Linked DNA regions of Ovis aries. The protein of the gene in region 1 purifies or fractionates together with the protein of each later gene. This does not show direct contact. Links are inferred from orthologs where the notes say so. Each region holds a gene or a part of one and is shown on either strand. Other genes may lie near its edges.

Region 1 (4,439 bases):
CTAACCCGGGGCTGGTTTTAACCCTGGCGCTCTGACCTAAACTGCTCAGCTCCCGGAAATTCCAAGGTGAGTGGGGGTGGGGTGGGGTATTCTCCCTGGAATAGGACATTTCCTGTCTCTGGTGAGGTTGGAGGCTGCTTTTATTTTAAATAAATCAGATTTTTTTTTTTCCTTGAAGCTAAAGGACTCCCGTCTGAATTCGTGGAAAAATTATTTTGAAACTCCTTACCTTACGTTCCCCACACTCCCACTCCCTCATCCAAATGAAGTATTTTGCTAAAAACATACAGACAGTTTTTTGGGTGGGCAGACCTATTGCTAGTAAGTTCTGGAGGTATGATTTACAACTATATATTCTTGGAATAATTCCCTAAATTTTGCTAGTTTGAAGTAAATTGATTAATGCAACTTTTTATGGTACTCAAAGACAAAATTCTGAGATTAGTAGTGACCTTTCCTGTTCCTGGGGTGGTCATCTGATCAGAAAGAAAATGTTTTTAGAATGCTGAAAAAAAGCTTTAAGGTTTACAGCAAAATAAAATGGAGTTCAGCTAAGAAAACAATCCCTGCTACTCTATAATCCAGACTCTAGGCACCATTTAACATGGTTAAGGAAGAATTCTTAAAAATGATTGTGCTGACAACAAGGAGGGAATTTAAAACACTAGAGTCTCTGCTGCATACCCCCTGGTTGTGCATGTTTCTGAGCTTAACTCAATTTCCATTTGTGTTGCCTTGCTTCAGCTTTCCTTGGGCCTATGAATGGTTCTTCTGTGTTTGGAGGCTTCATGTTGCTGTGAGTCTGGGACCAGACCTCTTGTTTTCCTCCTCCTCTTCCTTTGGCCCAAAGTCAGCTCCAGTTAAGAGGAGAGGTACCTCCTTAATATTTGGATTAGTTGAGCCTTAAGAATTACCGAACAGCCCAATGACTAGTTTTGATTTTTAGGACTAAAAAATATTTTTCTCCTCCATGCCTCCCTCCGATCCCCAAATGAAAGATGAGGCTTAATATATTTGAGGTGTCAGCCTTGCTTTTGTGAGCTGATGGGTGCTCTGAAGGGACAAGCTCAGTTTGTTGAAGGGAAATGTACCGAGTCACTGAAAATGTGGTGAAACATGCCCGAGCAGGCCTTTTTTGTCCTGTTAAGAGACTGTTCAGGATGCTCAGAGCAGAAGAAAGTTAGATTTTGCTGGCTTTTCTTTTTTTTCTCATTTTTATAGAAAATCTTATTTAAATGGAAGGTTTTCCATGTTTCTGTTCCAGTTTATGACTTGTAGACAGTCGTAGAGGTACCAGGAGTAAAATACCACCCTACTTGTTTTATAGACTCTGAAATTAGAGTTAGATAATTGTGCCCATCTAATAATTTTGATCTTGTGAGCTGAAGAGGAAGTTGTAATTAAGAAAGTGGGGACCTGCCCATTTTTGGTTACCTTCTTAGGACTCATCTGTAGAATGTTTCAAGACCCAAGAGAAAGGTACATGGCAGCTTTGTGTTATACCTGCTGCATCCCATTGAGAGACTGAACATTTTAACTGCTTGCATGGATTCTGACCATTTTTGTCCTTCCCATTTGCAGGAACCCGGTGGCCTTAGTCCTTCAGGTGAATCAGCGTGAGACATGGGAAAGAAAACCAAACGGACAGCTGACAGTTCTTCAGAAGATGAGGAGGAGTACGTTGTGGAGAAGGTGCTAGACAGGCGTGTGGTTAAGGGACAAGTGGAATATCTACTGAAGTGGAAAGGCTTTTCTGAGTAAGTACTTTCTCTCATGCTTTGGGACTCAGGGAAGTAGACAGCTTTGGTTCATTTCCCTGTGAACCATCACCATCTTTGTCATATTCTTTCCTCGCCTGCACTCCTTTCTAAGAGTCGCAAGACACAGCAGTGAACTAAGCAAAGTCTCCCCTTCTTGGAGCTGATGTTCTAATGAGACTGCTTTTGAGAGGCAGTGTAATGAACTGGTTAGAAGCATAGATTAGGGGCCAGATTGCCTGCGTCCAGATTCTTGCTCCCACCACTTACAGTATGAGCTGGGTGACCTTGCTGAAGTTCCTTAATCTTTCTTCCTCAATAAAATAGGGATAAGAAATAGTATATATCGTAGAGATGTTGGGGAGATGTATAGAGTCAGACACATAAGGTCAGTGTACGTGTAAACTGTTGTTGTTATTTTGGATGTAACGAAACTAAAATACATACATTTAAGTAGAAGTTGTAGTTGATCCCATAGCGCTCCATAACGACCCTTGGCCCTCAAAAGTGTCCTAGGATGAAACACTCATCTTTGTTATTTTTTTGTAACACTCATCCTAATAAGATAATAAGAGACTTAAATCTGAGACCCAATATTTATTTTTAAAAATGTAAAATATATATATATAACTGACGCAAAAGAAATTGAGTGAACACTCAAATACATACCACCTCATTTCTACAATAACATTTTAATATAATCTTTATTCCTCAATCTGTCTTTTTTACTATTAAAGACCTTAAAACCCCTCTTTTACGTCAGTGAGCTTTAAGAATGATACTGAAGTGTTGAGTATTCAGAGTTAGGCAGTAACTGGCTTTAAGTGCTGAAGTAAATATACACATACTGAAGCATAGAAGAGGTAGCTTGAAAAGTGAATTGCATGAAGCTGTGTAATCATTAGGCATTTTGCCTTAATTTCTCATTAATTCTCTTCCCAGGATGCCTGATAACAAAGAATGGATTTCTGTGAACACCAGTGAGCTGATAGGAACTGGTTTAGGCTCCTAGGAGTATTCAATAGGAATGGAATGCAAGCCAGATGTAATTTTAAATTTTATGGTGACTATATTAAGGAAAAGTGGAATTAATTTTAATAATATATTTTATTAGACACTCCCACCAAAATGCTATTTCAAAATTAATACAAAAATTATTAATGAAATTTTATATTTTCATGCTAAGAATTTAAAATCTGTTGTATATTTTTCATTTTGTAGCACATCTCAGTTCATGCTAGCCACATTTCAAATGTTCATTTACCATATGTGGCTAGTAGTTACCGTATTAAACATCGCAACTTAAAAGTGTGAGACTTTAATAAAAGATTGAATGCTTTGTCAGTCCCTTTGGACAAAGGTATGATCAGGAGCCTTTGGAGTATAGTTAAGGTTATTGTGGGAATCAAGTTTCTCATCTGGAGCATTGTTGGTGTTTTAGTTGGGACAGTTCATGCACTGCAGGATGCTTAGCATTTGTAGCACAGAGAGAACTAAATGTGGGTAGCACAGCAGTCAGAATGTGCCCTCCATGTTTCTAAAGAAGCATGGTATCGCAGCATCCTCTAGAGTTGAGCACTACGGATTTGAGAGGCCTAGAGCATCATGAGATAGGAATTAAAATACACCTTCAGGAAGGGGGCTTCCCTGGTGGTCCAGGGGTTGAGAATCTGCCTTGCAGTGGAGGGGGCACTGGTGTGATCCCTGGTCCAGAAAGATCCCACGTGCTTCGGAGCAACTAAGCCCTGGGTACCCCAGCTACTGAGCCAGCGGTTTAGAGCCTGTGCTCTGCAGCAGGAGAAGCCAACGCAATGAGAGACCTGCAGACCGCAACGAAGAGTAGCCCCTGCTTGCTGCTGCTAGAGAGAGCCTGAGTGTAACAGAGAAGATCCACCACAGCCAAAAATAAAATAAATCTTTAAAAAACAAAAGTACACCTGAAGACTTTAAGAATGTTTATTTGACCCATTGAATCATCACTGGAAATTGTTGGGTATTTTTGAAGAATTTGAAGACTGTGTAGTTGAGCTATTGATACCTTACATAGATAAAAGAGGTAAAGAAAAGATTTAGGGTAGATGGATTAACATTTGTCCTGAGTTTTTCAAAAGTATCCAGAGTTTCATTAAAGACTGAGACAGATTGTGCCCCTTCAACACTGTCCACAACTGAGTACCTACTGTTTGCTAGGCAGTGGTTATATCCTACCTCATGTGTTCTCTGTAATTCTCATAACAGCCTTTAGAGGTATTTACAGATGAGGAAATTGTTTACTAGAGATAACATACCTGATACATGCTAAAACAAGGATCCAGCATCACATTTCTTTGGTGCTAAAATGCAGATTCTTAAAAATAAATAAAACTAAATGCAGATTCTTTGTAAGTTATACCATGTTATCTTTTGGGTGAAAACTGATTGATGTAGAAACAATACTAACCTGGTGGGGAAAGGGATAATCCCCTTAGAAGATTGGCTTTCCTTGGTGGCAACAGAGATTCTTCTCCTACCTCTGCATCTTAGCTTGCTTACTGTACTACAGTGTTGGCATGCCTCTTGGTTTTTGTGCCTTAATTTCTCCTGGGATAGTAAACTATATATAATCTGTGAATTTGGGAGAAAGTTATTGTATGAGGATTTTTTTTTTTTTGGCTGAAAGAAGAGCTGTGAGGGAGAGGCTTT
Region 2 (3,644 bases), on another chromosome or scaffold:
CGTGCAGGGCTTTCGCCGGCGAGGTGGCAAAGCGGGCGGCTTCGGTGGCCGGGGAGGGGGCCATGCAGCCAAGGCCGCCCGGTGCTCCTTCAGTGACTTCTTTGAGGGCATTGGCAAGAAGAAGAAGGTGGTGGCCGTGGCAGCCGCAGGGGTCGGGGGCCCCGGCCTCACTGAGCTGGGGCACCCGCGCAAGCGAGGCCGGGGGGAGGTGGATGCGGTGACTGGGAAGCCGAAACGCAAGAGGCGGTCCCGGAAGAACGGGACTCTGTTCCCAGAGCAGGTGCCCAGCGGCCCCGGCTTTGGGGAGGCAGGCACTGAGTGGGCTGGGGACAAGGGTGGCGGCTGGGCCCCTCACCACGGGCACCCAGGTGGGCAGGCTGGCCGAAACTGTGGGTTCCAGGGGACCGAGGCCCGGGCCTTTGCCTCCACTGGGCTAGAGAGCGGGGCTTCAGGCCGTGGCAGCTACTACAGCGCAGCCGCGCCCACGGGCCAGGCGGAGCTCAGCCAGGAGCGCCAAAACCTCTTCACCGGCTATTTCCGCTCCCTGCTCGATTCCGACGACTCCTCCGACCTCTTGGACTTTGCCCTCTCGGCCTCTCGGCCAGAGTCCCGGAAGGCATCAGGCACCTACGCAGGGCCTCCCACCAGTGCCCTGCCTGCCCAGCGGGGCCTGGCCACCTTCCCCAGCCGGGGAGCCAAGGCCAGCCCAGTGGCCGTGGGCAGTGGCGGGGCTGGGGCTGAGCCCTCCTTCCAGCCGGTGCTGCCCGCTCGCCAGACTTTCCCACCCGGCCGGGCAGCGAGCTATGGGCTCACCCCGGCTACTTCAGACTGCCGGGCTGCAGAGACCTTCCCCAAGCTGGTACCCCCACCTTCCGCTGTGGCCCGCTCACCTACCACCCACCCGCCCACCAACACCTACCCCCCACAGTACGGCGGCTATGGGGCCGGACAAAGTGTATTTGCCCCGGCTAAGCCCTTCACTGGCCAGGACTGCGCTAACAGCAAGGACTGCAGCTTTGCGTACGGCAGCGGCAACAGCCTACCTGCCTCACCCAGCAGCGCCCACAGCGCCGGTTACGCCCCACCGCCCACTGGTGGCCCCTGCCTGCCACCAAGCAAGGCCTCCTTCTTCAACAGCTCCGAGGGGGCCCCCTTCTCTGGTTCAGCCCCCACACCTCTGCGCTGTGACAGCCGGGCCAGCACAGTCTCGCCCGGTGGCTACATGGTGCCCAAGGGCACCACGGCCTCTGCCACCTCCGCTGCCTCCTCGTCGTCCTCGTCCTTCCAGCCCTCGCCTGAGAACTGTCGGCAGTTTGCGGGGGCTTCTCAGTGGCCTTTCCGGCAGGGCTACGGAGGCCTGGACTGGGCCTCGGAGGCCTTCAGTCAGCTCTACAATCCTGGCTTCGACTGCCACGTCAGCGAGCCCAACGTGATCCTGGACATCTCCAACTACACCCCGCAGAAGGTGAAGCAGCAGACGGCCGTGTCCGAGACCTTCTCCGAGTCCTCCTCTGACAGCACCCAATTCAATCAGCCGGTCGGCGGCGGTTTCCGGCGTGCCAACAGCGAGGCCTCGAGCAGCGAGGGCCAGTCGAGCCTGTCCAGCCTGGAGAAACTGATGATGGACTGGAATGAGGCCTCGTCCGCCCCCGGTTACAACTGGAACCAGAGCGTCCTCTTCCAGAGCAGCTCCAAGCCGGGCCGTGGACGGCGGAAGAAGGTGGACCTGTTTGAGGCCTCGCATCTGGGCTTCCCGTCGTCTGCCTCGGCCACTGCCTCAGGCTACCCGTCCAAACGGAGCACCGGGCCCCGGCAGCCTCGGGGTGGCCGGGGAGGTGGCGCCTGCTCTGCCAAGAAGGAGCGGGGTGGGGCGGCGGCCAAAGCCAAGTTCATCCCCAAGCCGCAGCCCGTCAACCCCCTGTTCCAGGACAGCCCGGACCTCGGCCTGGACTACTACAGCGGGGACAGCAGCATGTCCCCGCTGCCCTCCCAGTCGAGGGCCTTCAGTGTGGGCGAGCGCGACCCCTGTGACTTCATGGGACCCTACTCCATGAACCCATCCACGCCGTCCGACGGCACGTTCAGCCAAGGCTTCCACTGCGACTCACCTAGCCTGGGGCCCCCTGAGCTGGATGGCAAGCATTTCCCGCCGTTGGCCCATCCACCCACGGTGTTTGACGCAGGCCTGCAGAAGGCGTACTCGCCTACCTGCTCACCCACCCTGGGCTTCAAGGAAGAGCTGCGGCCGCCGCCCACAAAGCTGGCTGCCTGTGAGCCCCTCAAGCATGGGCTTCAGGGGGCCAGCCTGGGCCACGCGGCTGCAGCTCAGGCCCACCTGAGCTGCCGGGACCTGCCGCTGGGCCAGCCTCACTATGACTCCCCCAGCTGCAAGGGTACGGCGTATTGGTACCCGCCAGGCTCAGCTGCCCGCAGCCCACCCTACGAAAGCAAGGTGGGTTCGGGGCTGCTGGCTGACTTCCTGGGCAGGACGGAGGCTGCGTGCCTCAGTGCCCCACACCTGGCTAGCCCACCGGCCACACCCAAGGCCGACAAGGAGCCGCTGGAGATGGCCCGGCCGCCCGGCCCACCCCGTGGCCCCGCTGCAGCCGCTGCTGCCTATGGCTGCCCACTTCTTAGTGACTTGACCCTGTCCCCCGTGCCGAGGGACTCGCTGCTGCCCCTGCAGGATACCGCCTACAGGTATCCAGGCTTTATGCCGCAGGCGCATCCCGGCCTGGGTGGGGGCCCCAAGAGCGGCTTCCTGGGGCCCATGGCGGAGCCTCACCCTGAGGACACATTCACCGTCACCTCCCTGTAGTGCCAACTGAAGTGCCGACTGGACCTCGAGGTTTTGTTCCTGGGTGAGTCTGAGGATGTGGGTGCAGTGGGCAGAAGAAGCCTGGGGGCTGGGGCTGGGGAGCGTGAAGACATTAGAGCTTGGGCAGGGGGCAGAAGGATGGCCACGAGCCAGAAGGACTGGAGGGCAAGACTGGGGACCCAACAACAGAGCAGGGAGTTGGGATTCAAGGGGTCTGGCATTAGCTGTTGGAAACAGTCTTAGGGAGGAGGTGAGTGCTTGGGTGGGGAACCCAGCCTGGGGCTTAGACATTCAGGGGTCCCATTTTTTAAATGGCTGGAGGACCGTAGACTGAGTAGGGCAGTCTGGTTTGGTTCATCAGGTGTCCATTCTCCTTAGCCACGCTCGGTCCTGAGCAGGGACCACCTGAGTCCCAGCACACACTTATCACTTGACCTCTTGTAAGGGAGGGTGTTTGCATCACTGCATAAGACAGATGAAGGAAGAAGCAGGTTGGATAATTACCCACAAAGGCCCATCTAGGATACTGATCCTGCCCGCTTCCTTGTCTCCCTGGGAACTTCATTTAATTCAAGATGCAGTCTGACAAAGGCCAGGCTGAGGGTGTGGCTAGGATGTCCTTTTCTGGCCTCGCAGGGTACCTCAAAGGCTATTATTCCACAGGGGTATTTGGGATTTCAGTGTCTGGGAACCTCCAGCCAATGGGTCTGTCCCCAGGTAGGATGTTGCCTACCTAAAAAACCCCAGGCCCTTTCCTGAAACCAAATTCATTCCTTAAGAATTCAGTTAAGTATTGTTAGGTATTTCGATATTGTTTTATCAGGTA
Region 3 (3,644 bases), on another chromosome or scaffold:
TGAAAGGGCAGGTTTTACGTTATGTCTATGTGATTGTAATAAAAATCTCTCAAAGCCCATGCAATTCATTTAGGCCAAGTTGCAGTCTGGGCACAGGGGTCTCCCTACTTGGTAGCCAAAGAATTCTCTCCTCCCCTCCTTGAGCTTCTTTTTAGTTGTTCCTTTGTGTTGAGGTGGAGACTGCTTATAATGCGGTGTTTGCTGCTCCTGCAGTGCCTCCTCGCAGGGCTGGCTGTCGCTCCACCCTGCTGCTGGCCCAGGTTTCCCTATCCTCAGTTGGTGACACTTTTCCCCACACCGGCCAGCTGTGTTGCTTCACCTCCTGGTCACGTCCCGAGTCCCCACTACCTACACCTGGGACTGTGCCTCGAGAGCCCCTGGAGCAGTCTGCCCTGCCCTGGGCATCGCCCCATGAGGAATTGCCATCCCCTGCCCCAGATCATCAAGGTGATGCTGCTGCAGGGCTGCTGTGGCATGGAGTCCAGCAGGCCTCAGAGTCCCCCAGGCCACCTGCTGCTCTCTGGGGTCTCCTGCAGGCCACTCTCCACACAGCAGCTGAAGGAATCCCATCACACCCAGAATCAAACCCGACACAGCTCCATGACCCCTCCTTGAGGCCTCCCTGCTGCCTAAAACCTTCCTCATAAGACCCTTGAGACCCTCCCTCACTTTCTGTCTTTCCCTCCTTTTCCCCCCAACATCGCCAAGCGGGTTATTTTCTTCTCTGAAATCTAAACAGTTCATGCTTTTGGATCTTCACTTTCCCCAGCACAGGCTGCCCTAGGACCTGAGCCAGCCTGTTTCCCCTCCATGGATGCTAGGCGTGTTCTAGTCTCTTCCCTTCTGTCTTGATTTTCTTTTTGGTTATGTCAACTTTTACATGATTCGGAAAATGAAATTCTGGTCCACACACCTGGCAAGTTCTGGCCCTGTGCCATTCCTCACCTCAGTCCCGCCTACCCCATGTTGGACTAGTTCTGTGCATTTCTGCCCTCTGCTTCCTAAAGTCTCTGTTTCTCCCCTGGAGAATGGCCTACCGTGGACCCCTTCCTGGGGGTCCCACCCTGAGTTTCCCACCCTGGGGTTCAGGTTACCTGGCTCTCCGTGGTGTGCACATGTCAGTGTTGGCCCAATAGGTCTCGGGCGGTGGCTGTCTGGCTTGGCTGCAGTCTTGGGCCAGTAAAAAGAATGCTATCACCAATAGCATTGTGCTCAAATGCAGAATGTTGTTTTCTGTTTCTGTGGGTATGTGTTCTTGGTAGATTTCTAGAAGGGCTGGCCCTAGACGGCATTGACACCCTTGTTGGTACCTAAGGGGCATTCCTGGGGCACATGCTTCATGCCAAAGCTCACCGTAGTTACAGTATCCACAGATGCACATGAGGGCTCTGAAGAAGCCAGACTTGGCCATCAGGGCCCTGTTTTCCTGTGGCCTGGGACTGTCTGGGTTCCTGACACAGAGCTAAGCCTGGGCTTACCCTCGAGCTCTGCCGGAGACAGCCAGGATAGGTAGGAGGGCGAGGTGTGCCCTTTCCATGCCCCGTCTCCCTGGGCCCGACCTGTGAGTTCTGGTGCAAACTCACTTTTGGGGACTGAGCCATGTCATTCGAGTCTTGCGGCCAAGGCAGGCCTTGGTGCCTTGGTGGTGGTCTCCAGGGTATGGCCAGCAAGGGAAGTCACTTGGGGTGGGTTGTTGTGAGCCTCACGGGCCCCAGGAGGCTCTGGGGCTGAGATCTGGAACACAGATGAGTCTGGCTCTTTTCCAGGGTGAGTTTCTAAGAGAGGGCTTTGCAGGTGACTGGCTCTGAGCCCACAGTTCTGGTTTCCAGGCCTCCCTGGCCCAGGTGATGCTCTCACCCTGTTGGCCCAGCCACGAGAGCAGCATGGCCAGACTCTAATCCCAGAGTCTGGAGCCTCACAGTAACCACTGTCCAAGGAGATAGGAGGGGGTCCTACCGGGTGGGACCCATGCATACCGGAGGAACTGGTCTGTCAGCATGGAGGAATGGGGAGGCACCCGCCCTGGAATCAGGCACGTCCCAGTGCCAAAGCCCCGCGTGGTCAGGAGAGTCTGGTGAGAAAGACTCACCCAGCAGGGAATTGCTCCTCTTCTCACGTGAGAACCCTGGGCAGTAGTGTCTGGTTGCCCCATCCCACTGTTTAGACAATGCCTTTGTGACTCTTCTCTGTCTAGGGTGTTGGTACCCATTGTCAAGATAGGAGGAGACTGAGGCACAGGATGTTGAAGTCACTTGTGCAGATCCATGTTTGGAAATGGCAAAAAAAAAAAAAAAAATCACGATTTGGGCTCGGTGTGGCTTACTCCAAATCTGCAGGTTTTTCCTCAACACTGCACTCGGCACCACCTCCCCAGGGGCAGTGTTGGGCTCTTCCCATCACCAAGGTGTATTGTACGGTTTTCATTGAACACCCATTTGAGAAAACCCCAAACACAAAAGCTTAAAGTAACACTTATGCTTAAAAACACAAAAACTTAAAGTAACACTCCCTGGGGAAGAGGAGCCCCCTCAATTTTGGTGAGTAGGTCCCTCTCCAGCGGGTGAGAGAGCCTCTCATCATCCGTCCAACCCAGAGGCCCTAGCTCGTAACACCGAGAAGCCATCTTGGCAAGCCTGCTAGAGATGGGCCTCAGGGTGACCACAGTGTCGGTAGGGTGCTGTGGGCCATCACTGTCAGCAGCCCCAGGCTCTCAAGTCATCTGTGAAGGGGAAGGGCATTTCAATCTGGGGGACGCTAGTAGGACAGCCCCTCTCCTGGGGCCCTGCCCATGTCAGGGCACCCCAGACCTGCTGGCGCCCACTTTTTTCTGCACACCAGTTTGTTCCCTGTGATACTGACATCCTTGTTTAACACTCAGGGAAGAAAAGTCCGAAGAGCAGGATCTCCAGGGCCTGAAGGACAAACCTTTGAAGTTCAAAAAGGTGAAGAAGGATAAGAAAGAAGACAAAGAGGGCAAGCATGAGCCCCTGCAGCCAGCAGCCCACCACTCTGCCGAGCCAGCAGAGGCCGGCAAAGCAGAGACCTCAGAAGGGTCAGGCTCGGCCCCAGCCGTGCCAGAAGCTTCTGCGTCCCCCAAGCAGCGGCGCTCCATCATTCGTGATCGGGGCCCCATGTACGATGACCCCACTCTGCCGGAAGGTTGGACCCGAAAGCTTAAGCAAAGGAAATCTGGCCGCTCCGCTGGGAAGTATGATGTGTACTTGATCAAGTAAGTGAGGGTGATTCCTGTCTCTCCAGAGCAGGGAAGGCTAGTGGTGGTGGTTGGGAAAGAGTCAGGGATCACCACTAAGAAACTTTTGGGGACCCCTTGGAGTGTTAGCTCCTTGCGGCTCATGGATCAAGAAAGTGTGTGTGCGTAACCCACTTCCGGTCGGGTCTTCAGTAGTGACCACTGCTGGTGGGTCTGATCAGGTATGCTTGGAATGACCACCTGGGGAGGTCACTGCCCTGAGGGAGATGTCCATCAGGGCCTTGTCTGGAGGAAGAATAGCACTGGGGACACAGAGTTCTGCCATTCATACTCTGCTGATGATTTCCCAGCAGAGGGGCTGTCCTCAGGACCTGGGAACCTCTTCTTTGTGGGAGAGTCCTTCTGTGCCAATACTTCATGAGCCCTGAGAAAT

The links.
Region 2: the proteins of CBX5 (region 1) and AHDC1 purify together in Homo sapiens (affinity purification with mass spectrometry; 3 studies listed by BioGRID and IntAct, with this or other methods). This does not show direct contact. The link is inferred for Ovis aries from reciprocal best matches to the Homo sapiens genes CBX5 and AHDC1.
Region 3: the proteins of CBX5 (region 1) and MECP2 purify together in Homo sapiens (affinity purification with western blotting; 3 studies listed by BioGRID, with this or other methods). This does not show direct contact. The link is inferred for Ovis aries from reciprocal best matches to the Homo sapiens genes CBX5 and MECP2.

Annotation. Positions count from the first base shown.
Region 1 is NC_056056.1:132,284,876-132,289,314, forward strand, and holds the start of CBX5 (chromobox protein homolog 5), read left to right. Parts: upstream 1-1,623; coding exon 1,624-1,757; intron 1,758-4,439. UniProt on the Homo sapiens protein: Component of heterochromatin that recognizes and binds histone H3 tails methylated at 'Lys-9' (H3K9me), leading to epigenetic repression. In contrast, it is excluded from chromatin when 'Tyr-41' of histone H3 is phosphorylated (H3Y41ph).
Region 2 is NC_056055.1:239,497,012-239,500,655, forward strand, and holds part of AHDC1 (transcription factor Gibbin), read left to right. Parts: coding exon 1-2,818; 3' UTR 2,819-2,861; intron 2,862-3,644. UniProt on the Homo sapiens protein: Transcription factor required for the proper patterning of the epidermis, which plays a key role in early epithelial morphogenesis. Directly binds promoter and enhancer regions and acts by maintaining local enhancer-promoter chromatin architecture.
Region 3 is NC_056080.1:80,263,875-80,267,518, forward strand, and holds part of MECP2 (methyl-CpG-binding protein 2), read left to right. Parts: intron 1-2,878; coding exon 2,879-3,229; intron 3,230-3,644. UniProt on the Homo sapiens protein: Chromosomal protein that binds to methylated DNA. It can bind specifically to a single methyl-CpG pair. It is not influenced by sequences flanking the methyl-CpGs.